2 linked regions of the Oryzias latipes genome follow. The protein of the gene in region 1 purifies or fractionates together with the protein of each later gene. This does not show direct contact. Links are inferred from orthologs where the notes say so. Each region holds a gene or a part of one and is shown on either strand. Other genes may lie near its edges.

The links. The genes of interacting proteins can lie anywhere in the genome.
Region 2: the proteins of ETS translocation variant 5 (region 1) and cop1 purify together in Homo sapiens (affinity purification with mass spectrometry; 6 studies listed by BioGRID and IntAct, counting the BioPlex papers as one, with this or other methods). This does not show direct contact. The link is inferred for Oryzias latipes from reciprocal best matches to the Homo sapiens genes ETV5 and COP1.

Annotation. Positions count from the first base shown.
Region 1 is NC_019879.2:595,583-601,043, reverse strand, and holds the start of ETS translocation variant 5, read right to left. Parts: upstream 3,196-5,461; 5' UTR 3,031-3,195; intron 2,613-3,030; exon of another isoform or gene 2,148-2,612; intron 1,976-2,147; 5' UTR 1,902-1,975; coding exon 1,854-1,901; intron 1,788-1,853; coding exon of another isoform or gene 1,785-1,787; coding exon 1,694-1,784; intron 1,617-1,693; coding exon 1,431-1,616; intron 592-1,430; coding exon 468-591; intron 395-467; coding exon 164-394; intron 93-163; coding exon 1-92. UniProt on the Homo sapiens protein: Binds to DNA sequences containing the consensus nucleotide core sequence 5'-GGAA.-3'.
Region 2 is NC_019875.2:19,747,630-19,752,374, forward strand, and holds the end of cop1 (E3 ubiquitin-protein ligase RFWD2), read right to left. Parts: intron 3,484-4,745; coding exon 3,366-3,483; intron 2,854-3,365; coding exon 2,729-2,853; intron 2,651-2,728; coding exon 2,490-2,650; intron 2,349-2,489; coding exon 2,304-2,348; intron 2,024-2,303; coding exon 2,006-2,023; 3' UTR 984-2,005; downstream 1-983. UniProt on the Homo sapiens protein: E3 ubiquitin-protein ligase that mediates ubiquitination and subsequent proteasomal degradation of target proteins.

The DNA.
Region 1 (5,461 bases):
TACTGCTGGGGGGCTGTGGCAGGAAGCGGGGCGGGGCCTGGCTCTGGGAGGGGGGGACGGGCAGACAGGGCTCCGACATCTGTCTCTGGAACCTGCAGGTGGAGGTGTGCCTGTCACACGAGGGTCATACAGACGGGGAAAATGAGGGAGGAGGCGCGCTCACCTGTGCTCAGGTGTGAAGCTGCTAGCATCCTGGCTGATGGGGGGACAGGGCACCGTGAAGGGGGGGCTGTGTGTCACCAGAGCCCCTGGTTCTGGATGCTGCTGAAGTGGACATGCTGCTGAGCTGGGCATACGGGGGTGAGAGCGGGGGGATGTCACCCCACTGGAGCCTTCACAGGGGGAGGCAGGCGTGAGGGGAGGGGTCAATGGCTTAAACTTCCGGTCGCAGGCACTGTAGCCAAAAAGGAGGCGTGGTTATGTGGAGCAGGCGCCGTGACGCCTGTGCACGCATGCGGCAAACCTACCTGTGGCTGTAGAGGCACTTGTCTTTGCAGGAGGTGGGCGTCCTGTCCTGAAGACAGTGGGACAGCTCTTTGGGGGGGGTCAGCTCCCGTTTAATCTTGGCTGGAGGAGGGCCGTGAAACATCACTGCACAGGAGACAATCAGGGGAGCAGAAACCATCACCTGACTGTCAACAGCCAGAAATTGAAATAAATGAATCAAATGAAAACCGGGAAAATCTGGACTGAGGTTCAGCAGGTTTAAGTTACTATAAGGTCAGACCGACCAATCACAGCGGACAACGCACATGTGGTGTCATTCCATTCCATTCTGGTCCATTCCAGTCCAACGTGTGGAAAGACTTTGATCAATCAGATCGCTCAAGGTGAAGAAAACTTTAATGGAGTGGTTTTTAAAATAGATGGTTTTGATCCTCTTCTGATCTGTTCTCAAATCCTTCCCAGTCGTCTTTTGATGAGTATTCTGCCGTTTTTAGCCTAAATTATAATCCCGTGTCGTTTTCTAGGACCTAGTTTCTGCAGAGCAGCAGGAGTTCATCTCTGAGTTATGGGCGGGACTGCTGGCGTGGAGTAAGCCGCCCTCATTTCCCATGATGCCTTTGTTTACACTTTTTCCCGCTAGCTTACACAACCACTCCAAGCTAGCGTTAGCACTGCAACAGAAAGGGTGAACAATCTCCAGCCGTACGGTTCTGATCCGGATTCCAGGAAAACCAAGACGTTGGTGGATGTTTGTCTGTGGGGGGCGTTCCAAAGAACCCCCCTGTTCCCGCAGACGACCTTTGCCCCCACACAAACCCAGTGCAGCAGCCCACTGACAGAACCAAACGCCATCACCCCCCCGGAGCATTTCTGTGCTCCACTGCAGCAGAGCAGAGCGGCGTGCAGGAGAGTGGAAAATCAGATTAGGGGCCTCGCTCATGTGACGCCCCCCCGCGCCCCCCCGGAACAGAGCAGGTACTCACAGCTGTCCGACTGGAAGTCTGGAACAAACTGCTCGTCATCCGGAACGTGGGCTGTGGAGCGGGGGGAGAACGTCAGTGTCTTCGTTTGGACCGCATACGGGTCAGAAGCAGAGCTGGTTCCGCCGGTCCAGAACTCACCCTCAGCGATCCAGATCTCCTGCAGCTGGCTGAGGTCCTGGAAGAGTTCTGCGGGACAGGAACCAGGACCCGTTAGCTCAGAGGAACCCAAACACACCTGAGCGGCGCCGCCTCGCATCCTTTACCTTCCGTGTCCAGAGTTAGCTCCGCCTCCACAAACTTCCTCTTCCTGTCGCTCACAGGCCGGTTTGGAGACGACTCCATGGCTGCCGCCTGCTGCTGGGAGAGACGAGAACATCAGTCTGAGCCGCCACGCCTCAACCTGCAGCGCCGCGCGTGACTTACGCTGGGAGGAACCACGAAGGGGACCTGCTGGTCATAGAAGGCGTCCATGTTCTCTGATGGGGGGTCCAAAATGAAGGGGAGGGGATGGCGAGTGCTTTAAAGCCGCCGCTGTCCACAGGGCACTAAACACACAACAGAGACACTGAGCTCCACCTCCATTCAATGAGCACGCCCACATCATCATCATCGTCATCATCATCACCACAACCAGCATCTGAGGCCTATTTCACACACAAACAGCCTGGAAGGCGGCGTGTCCGTCCATGGAGCCGCCGCCAACACTAACTCTCTTACATAAACGGACTCTTTCGGGGCTAATCCACTTGGAGACGTGGATTCAACCACGTCCTCAGACTCCTGACACGCCACGGCTCCACGGGATCCACAGGAGCCGGTCTGAGACTTCCAGGTGGTTGTTGGACGAAGTCTCACTTCAAAGTGAGCGCTGTGCTTCTCCCCACAGAGTCTCATGACTCACTGCTCTGTTCTCTGATAATGGATGATGCATAAAGATCGCTGCTGGCAGTAATCACATTACTGTTCCCTGTAGTCCGGGGGAGGAGCTTCTGCCATGCAGGAACGCACTAGGACGAGCTGCCTGGTGGTTCTGATCCAATGCCATCGAAGCATCACTGCTGGAAACGACTGCGACGCTTCAACTTCTCTTAAAGTTTATAGTCGTCATCACAGCGCGTAGGAGAACGGTCCGTGAACGCAACACAGACACATGAACTCAGGCGGCAACACTTCACGGCCAGAAAAAAAAAAAACGGCTGAAAACGGCTGGATAAAGCAGCAGCGGCGGCGGCGGGGGGGGGGGGGGGGGGGTAGTCCACCCGACACTGCCTCCTGTCCCTCCCCCACCCATGTGCCCTCCCTTGTTTTTCTCAATGAAGTGAAACTCGATCCGTGTGGAAAAACAGAGCAGGGGGGGGGGGGGGGGGGGAGTCCATTCATAAAATCACAAACAGACGGAGATGAGGCGCACCAGCGACTGCGCAGTTAACCCGGACCAGCACCAACGCACGTCATTCAGTCATTTCAGCGCGCGCGCGTCGAAAACCTGCAGCTTTCTGAAGTAAAACTGGTTCTGAAGTGACGCACTGAAAATTCTGTTGGAAAAAAAACCCAGACACCAAAAACAAGCTTTCCAAACAATTCCCGCGCTTCATCCTACCTTTAGCGCGCGCTGAACGTCTTCAGGTTAAACAGAAAACCGCTAAAAACGGAACCAGTACGCCGAACTTTGGAGAACCGACGCTCCCCGACTGAAACCAAAAGTTGACTGAGCGCTTCGCTGAAGCTCGCCTCGGTTTTGCCCTGGGCTCGAGCGCTCGCCGTGACGCTCGCTGATTGGTCGATTTCAACTGTCACTCAACACAGCAGCCAATAGCGGCTCGTAAACTCATGTCTTATTTCGACGGCGACATCCGACCAATCAGGGTTCGACAAAAGCCTATTTTTATGAATGGCAGGATTTCATTCACTGTTTTTCGAGCTCCGCTGCCACAGAGCGCGTTAAAGGGCCAGTCCGGCGTGGACATCACGCCTGCGTGATTTGCGTGGCGGACTGTCATGGCGTCACTCCGTCGGAACAAAGTGTAGCTTTCTGTGCGCTCTTTGGGCCATGAAGGTAGATTTAACCTCTCGGAGACAGACGCACGTGGCCTTTGAAGGACCGTGGAGTGGATGAAGAGGAGGAGCCTCGTGTCTTCATCTGGACTGTCCAGATGTTTTTACATACATGACCCAAAGTTTACATGAACTTTTCAGGAGCGTTCTGTCTCTGCAGAGACCGGAAACAAGGCAGTGGACGGACTGCTGAAGACCACGTGACCACATTTTCTTTGATCTCGGTGAAACTTTTAACAGAGAAGAGAGAAGAATTTTGATTAAATCAGATTTTGACTTTTTCATTTCTAAATGAACTGAAAGTAAAAATCCTATATATCTATCATTTCAATAGTAGATTAGTCATGTTGTATATTTATAAGTCACTTTATTAATAATCAAAGGAATAAAACAACTAAAAATTTTATATAGTTAAGTTCCAAAAAGTTTATTCTTCAAAAACCCTCAGACTGTTTCTTTTTTGTAATCTAAAAAGGCTGAAAGGTTTCTGGTTTGATCTCTTCATCTCAGCAGAAATGCAGCACCCCCCCCCCCCCCCCCTAAATTATCCTCAAAAATGCTTCTTAGCTTCTCATGATGGGGTGGGTGGGGGTGCATTCGCTCTGTCATGATCATGTTTTTAGAGACCGCCGGGTGCAGAGGTCACACGATGAAACTTACCAGCTGCTATGGAAACTATCATCCCTGCACAAAACCTGCAGAGATGACTAGACTACTGCAGAGTTCACAAGGACAGACAAACATGCGTGTGGATGTTTGCATGTGACTGACAGGTCTGAGCTTGTGGGGAGGGCAGGTGGATCAGAACCACCAGAGGAGCCTGCAGGTCTGGCTTTGCTGTTGTCCTCGCTGCAGCAGATGTGGTGGGTGGTCACTTGGAGGCGTTCAAACAGCGAGCTTATGGCGCTGCTGTTCTCCTTCCTTATCCCTTATGCTATCTTAGATGACCCCCCCACCCACTGACGTGTTCTCCCTACCATGACAAAGGTGGATAAAGGTGGAAAGATTTCATGTAATCCATGGACACCAGTGAAGATCACAAATCATTGAAGAGAAAAGGTTCAGAGCACTGTCTAGAGCACATGTGTCAACCTCAAGGCCCAGGGGCCAAATGTGGCCCTCCGTGTCAGGATCTGCTCTCCAGTGGTTTAAATCCTATCTGTCTGATAGGTATCAGTTCGTTAATGTAAATGGCCATTCCTCTCAGTGCACTCGAGTCAACTATGGAGTCCCACAGGGCTCAGTCTTGGGACCGATCCTGTTTATGCTTTATATGCTACCCCTAGGAAACATAATCAGGAAACACAGCATTAATTTTCATTGTTATGCCGACGATACGCAGTTGTATTTATCCATGAAACCGGACCAAAATGACAATATAGAGAAACTGAACGCCTGCATCAGTGACATCAAGACCTGGATGACAATTAATTACCTCCTCTTGAACCCAGAAAAAACTGAGGTCATTATACTAGGTCCTAAAAACCTCAGAGATGCTCTGTCTGCTCAGATAGTCTCCCTGGATGGTGTAAGTATAGCCCCCAATTCCACAGTTAGAAACCTTGGGGTTTTACTTGACCAGGATTTATCATTTAAGGCTCACATATCTCAGGCGTGTAGAACTGCCTTTTTTCACCTGTGGAATATAGCTAAGATCAGAAATCTACTTTCTAAGAGTGATGCTGAAAAACTCATCCATGCATTTGTTACGTCGAGGCTGGATTACTGTAACTCCTTGTTAGCAGCGTGTCCTAAGAGTTCCTTAAGAAGTCTCCAGCTTGTTCAGAACGCAGCAGCTAGATTGTTAGCAGGAACTACCAGAAGAGATCACATCACTCCTGTGTTAGTTTCACTTCACTGGATCCCAGTTGATTCTAGAATTAAGTTCAAGATCCTCCTGTTAACCTATAAGGCCTTACATGGAATGGCCCCGTCCTATATTAAGGACCTCATAGTCCCTTACCATCCAATCAGAA
Region 2 (4,745 bases), on another chromosome or scaffold:
TACTTTGTAAGATAGTTAAGTTCCATATTTTTGTTTATTTTTGAACGGCTGCGTATAGTGTTACTAGCACATAAATTCGTTTGGCTTTCCATTTATTTGTGTTGAACTTTTGTTTGTGTTGTAGGCATTGCGACAACTTCAACAGATGAACCTAAGCGGAAAAACACCGTTTTTCCTTTTTACATTAATTTTCAGGCTATTATAATTTAAAGAATGTAATTTTTCTGGTAAATTGTACTGAAAAGTCAAAAGAGAAATGCAATTTTGTATTTTTTTCTTGAGTCGAGAGCTGAAAATATTATTTTAGTATAGCTCTGCATAAAGTACAGTTTATCCATCTGTATGTTGGTTTTTCAAAATGAGACTAAAAATTAAATATAGAAAAACATTACTATACTAAGGGTAAAAACAAAAAATATACAGTATTTGGTAATACAGCTCTGGCATTCTAATAGGCTTTCAATATCTTTTTAAATATAGTACTTGACATCTAGAAATAAAATCGGCCTTCTTCTTGCTTGCTTTTAGGAGCATAATTATATGTATTTATCATTTTGGGTAATACTTAGTCCCTAGTTTTAACAACAGTAGATTTTTTTTCCTTTTATGAATTGATAATGCATTTTACTGAAATTATTTTCAGCATTGTGGTAAAGGTTTCAATTAAACATTTTATTATTCGTGTTCTTAACGGTGAGTCAGGTCTGTTGGAAATTCTGTATATTCCCGTTTTAATTATTTGTTCTGTGTACTGTTAATATTCTCATTCAGGTAAGTAGCTCTGTGGCCAGGAACAAATTTCCTCTCTGAGGACAAAGTTTACCTCACCTTAGTACAATTACGTATGTGCTAACCTCAACTTTTTATCTTAGATTTCCTCATTTGTACTAAAAAAAAAAAGCTGGTTTGTCATATTTTCCAAGCAACCTATTGCATTGTAATTAAAGAGAATATCAAAGACTTTCAAAAAGCACACATACCAAAATGTTTTAAATAATTTATTGTTAGGCAAATACAAAACACCTCTCTTATTCATCAATCATAAAATTGGCAGATCCTGGTGGCTTCTTCAATCCTTCCATTATTCTTTTTTTACATGTCCTTGTGGAACTCCACAAAAACTGGTAGCGGCGCCCAAAATGCAATGATACTCAGTTCATGCCTGCAGTTGTGCATTAAAAACAAAATAAAAAGAAACATCCCAGTGCTACTTTGAAAGAACTTCATCTGAGGCTTTGTGGTTATCAGTTTACAACAGTCCTAATCCATCAAAAAGTCCAGTTCCACTAACTGCAGGTTGAATCAAGCAACAATAGCTGTGGTTATAGAAACAAACACGTGGAGTATCATTTTGTTCTGAGAAAAAGATACGCTGAGATGCTACGTTGCTTTTGCCAGAAAAACTGCTGTACACTTGACAAAATGAAATTCAAGTCACCTTTATTAAAAAAAAAAAAAAAAACCCTGCTGTCTCCCAATCTGGAAAAACAAACAAAATATACAACAAAAAGAACAACACAAATAGGGAATAAACTGGACAGCTGACAGAGGGGGAATTTAAGTTTGCATGTTTTGTTTTGTGCTTTGGCCTTTAAAAGACAAAATGCAGGAGGTTGCATTTATCTGAATTGCCTTTGACAGAAATGGTTAAAGAGTTAAAAAGTCAAAAGTAAAAAAATAATAAGATTTGGTATAAAACCAGAGAGAGGTGTTGTATTGTGGCTGACAAACTGTGACGGATTAGGAACAAAACCGCTTTCCTCTGTTTTGTGCCCCAGCTTGGTTCTTTAACGGTAAAGCTCAAACGCCGGCACATCTCCGCCTGCTGTACTGGTGCCACGGGCCGACATTTGTCTGATGTCACACGCACACAAAGCTCAGTGAAATAACAGATGGATTCCGTTTCTTTTTGCTCCTCCGTTGATCAGCAGGCGATCTCCCCATTCACGGCTGACCCCTGCCCCCCTAAAGATAGAGGTCATGATAGCCCAAGCCTGGCAGGAATTCAGACAAGTTCAAGAACCTGTCAGGGAGGAATAGATACAGACATTTAGATGTTTTAAAGACATTTTTTTCTTTATTAAGCAATTTTTTGACAAACCACTCCCCCTCCCCCCCCCCCCCCCCCCAAATAATTGCAATTGTATTTTTTTTCCTGGTAAATTCTCATTAAATGGGAGGAATTATGCACTGATACTGGAATAATAAAAAAAAACTCAAACAGATGTTTTTAAGAGCTGTAAACATTTAACGGTACTATTAAAAAGAAAACATCTTTTTTGTATATTTTTTAAAACACCAACCTTGATAGTTCCTTGACTGTTCGCAGCAATGAGAACATTTGACTCCTAAAAGCAAATCATTTTGAATAAATCAGAGGTATTTTATGTAAATGAAAGCCTTGTTTAAAATATTGACAAAAGCCTTAAAGTATTGCTTACAATGGCAGAATTGAAAAAAGTATAGTTGACCAGTGAAGTGACACTTACTCCATCAGGCAGGGCTCTCCAGCAGACGGCACTCACAAACTCATTGGTGTCATCTTCTTTCTTGTCTTTGTCCAAAACACTCTTCACCGTGTCGAACTTGAATGTTAACAGTGTTTTGGAAAGTCCTTTGTAATACAGGTACAGGGAGTTGTTCTCACTTCCTAAAATGGACATAAAAACACTTTATATTAATGGCTAGTCTTTAAACATCAGCGTCAACGTTTCAAATGAACGTATACCACAGGCAACATAGTCTCCATTTGACGCCAGTCCAACAAAGTTCTTCTCGTTGATGTGACCCTTAAAGGAGCGCAGGCAGTGAGGTTTGTTGACGTTCCAAAGCTTCAGCTGGCTGTCCGTCGAACTATGAACACAGAACATGTACTCTTTATATGTGTGTGCACAAATCCTTCTTTATCCTATTTTTTTAGTTTTGGTTATTAAGTAGTTTCTTTACAGTTTTAAAAGCATTGTTTGAGAAGTCTAAATATGCAAGAAAGCTGCTAAAAATATGAAAGCGTATTTTAATCAATTTAGCTTCTGTGAAAGAAATAAACTTAGCGGCTCTCGTTTAAAGCTTTAAAATGTGTTTTTCTCACCTCTGTTCATGTGTTATATAGGATTATATAGGAACCAGACTAAATGTTAAATATTTGTTGATCTGTTTTGCCACTAGCACAGGATGATCTCTATTAATTGTATTATTAACATAAAAGTTTTAAAATTAATAAAATTAAAGTCCTTAATAGAAAACGTTAAGCAGTAAGACGTTGTCTGTCATTGCATTTTTAAAATATACTAAAATATTTAACATTTAAAAACAAATACACGATTACTTAAAACATTAAAGATGGAAGCAAAGGTAAACAGACTTACGCAGAAACGATTTCTTCCCCATTTACAAACTTAGCGTAGGACACGGCCTTCCTGTGGCCTTTGAAAACCATGATTGGCTGCTTAGTGTTGCGGAGATCGTAGTAGTGGACACAGTGGTCTGCGGACAAAAGAGATAAATTTCACAAAATGTTCAAATTGGGCCAGAAAATGATGAAGCACAACTGTTGTTGCTTTCTGTCAATAAAAACATGATGGTATTAAACCACAAACATTACATTTTTTCCTGATCTGCAACTCTGTGGTTAGTTTTGGTACTAAAAAAAGAAAATTATTTTAGTCTTTTATTTTCCAATCTCCTAGCTGCACTCCGAACGTAAACCAAGAATGAAAACTTACAGCAAAGTACCACACAGTTTCTGCTCAGAGTTAGAATACTTACACGAATACCCCTATAATAAAATATCTATGATCATTCATAGATATTCTTCTGTCAGGACATAATAAAGTTCTTTTGGATTGTTCAGGATTAATTGTCTTTCAAACAAACAAAAAGAAAAACAGTTGAGATGTGATGCTGAATAAAATAAAAGAAATACAATATTATATAGCAATGACAGAAAACATTTTTAATGCTCCTTAACTGAGGAAAAACCTTGAATATGTTAGCGTGACACTACATTGTCCCTTTACTTTCTAAAAAGAATAAAACACTGTTTGTATCCAGTTCTGTTAAAAGGAGTTAGGCTCTCTCTCTCTTTGTTTAAAATCAATTTGTATTTTGTATCTAAATAGCCGAAATTGCAAAATCTTAAGCGAGAGCAACAGTTCTCTTTTCTTTCTAAAAGCTTGTCTGTTTTGACTTTTTTTATATATAAATTCCACCTACATTATGCAACATTTTCAGGGGTTAAAAAAAAGTGCTTTTTGTTGTGAAAAATTAGAAGTAAAAAAAAAAAACAACTTAAGAAATTACCTCTAGAATTTCTTTACAGAGCAAAAATCAAACTATGAAAAAGATCTGGTAGAAGAATGCACTAAAATTGACTTAAAAAGTCTCCAAAGACATTTTTAAAGAATTATTATAATTCCTGAATGACGAGAGTTTAGTGCCCATAGAATTCTGAAATGTAATATTTTATGGTTACCAACCAAAGAAATTCAGAAATGCAGCCGATGACAATCATACCTCCCTACCCAACTTTGACTGAAGAACATATGAAAATTATATCATTTTATTTTTAACAAAATCTTTAATTTTATAGAGTACAAGCATTTCAGAAGAGAAACTAGACCCCCAAAATACTTGTGATAAAAGTGAGTGGTTTATAATTTGAGTTGGGGTTGTTGAAGGTAATTTGAACGATTCCACTTTTACAGTTTTTTAATTAATTTAGTAATATTATATTGACGACAAAAGCT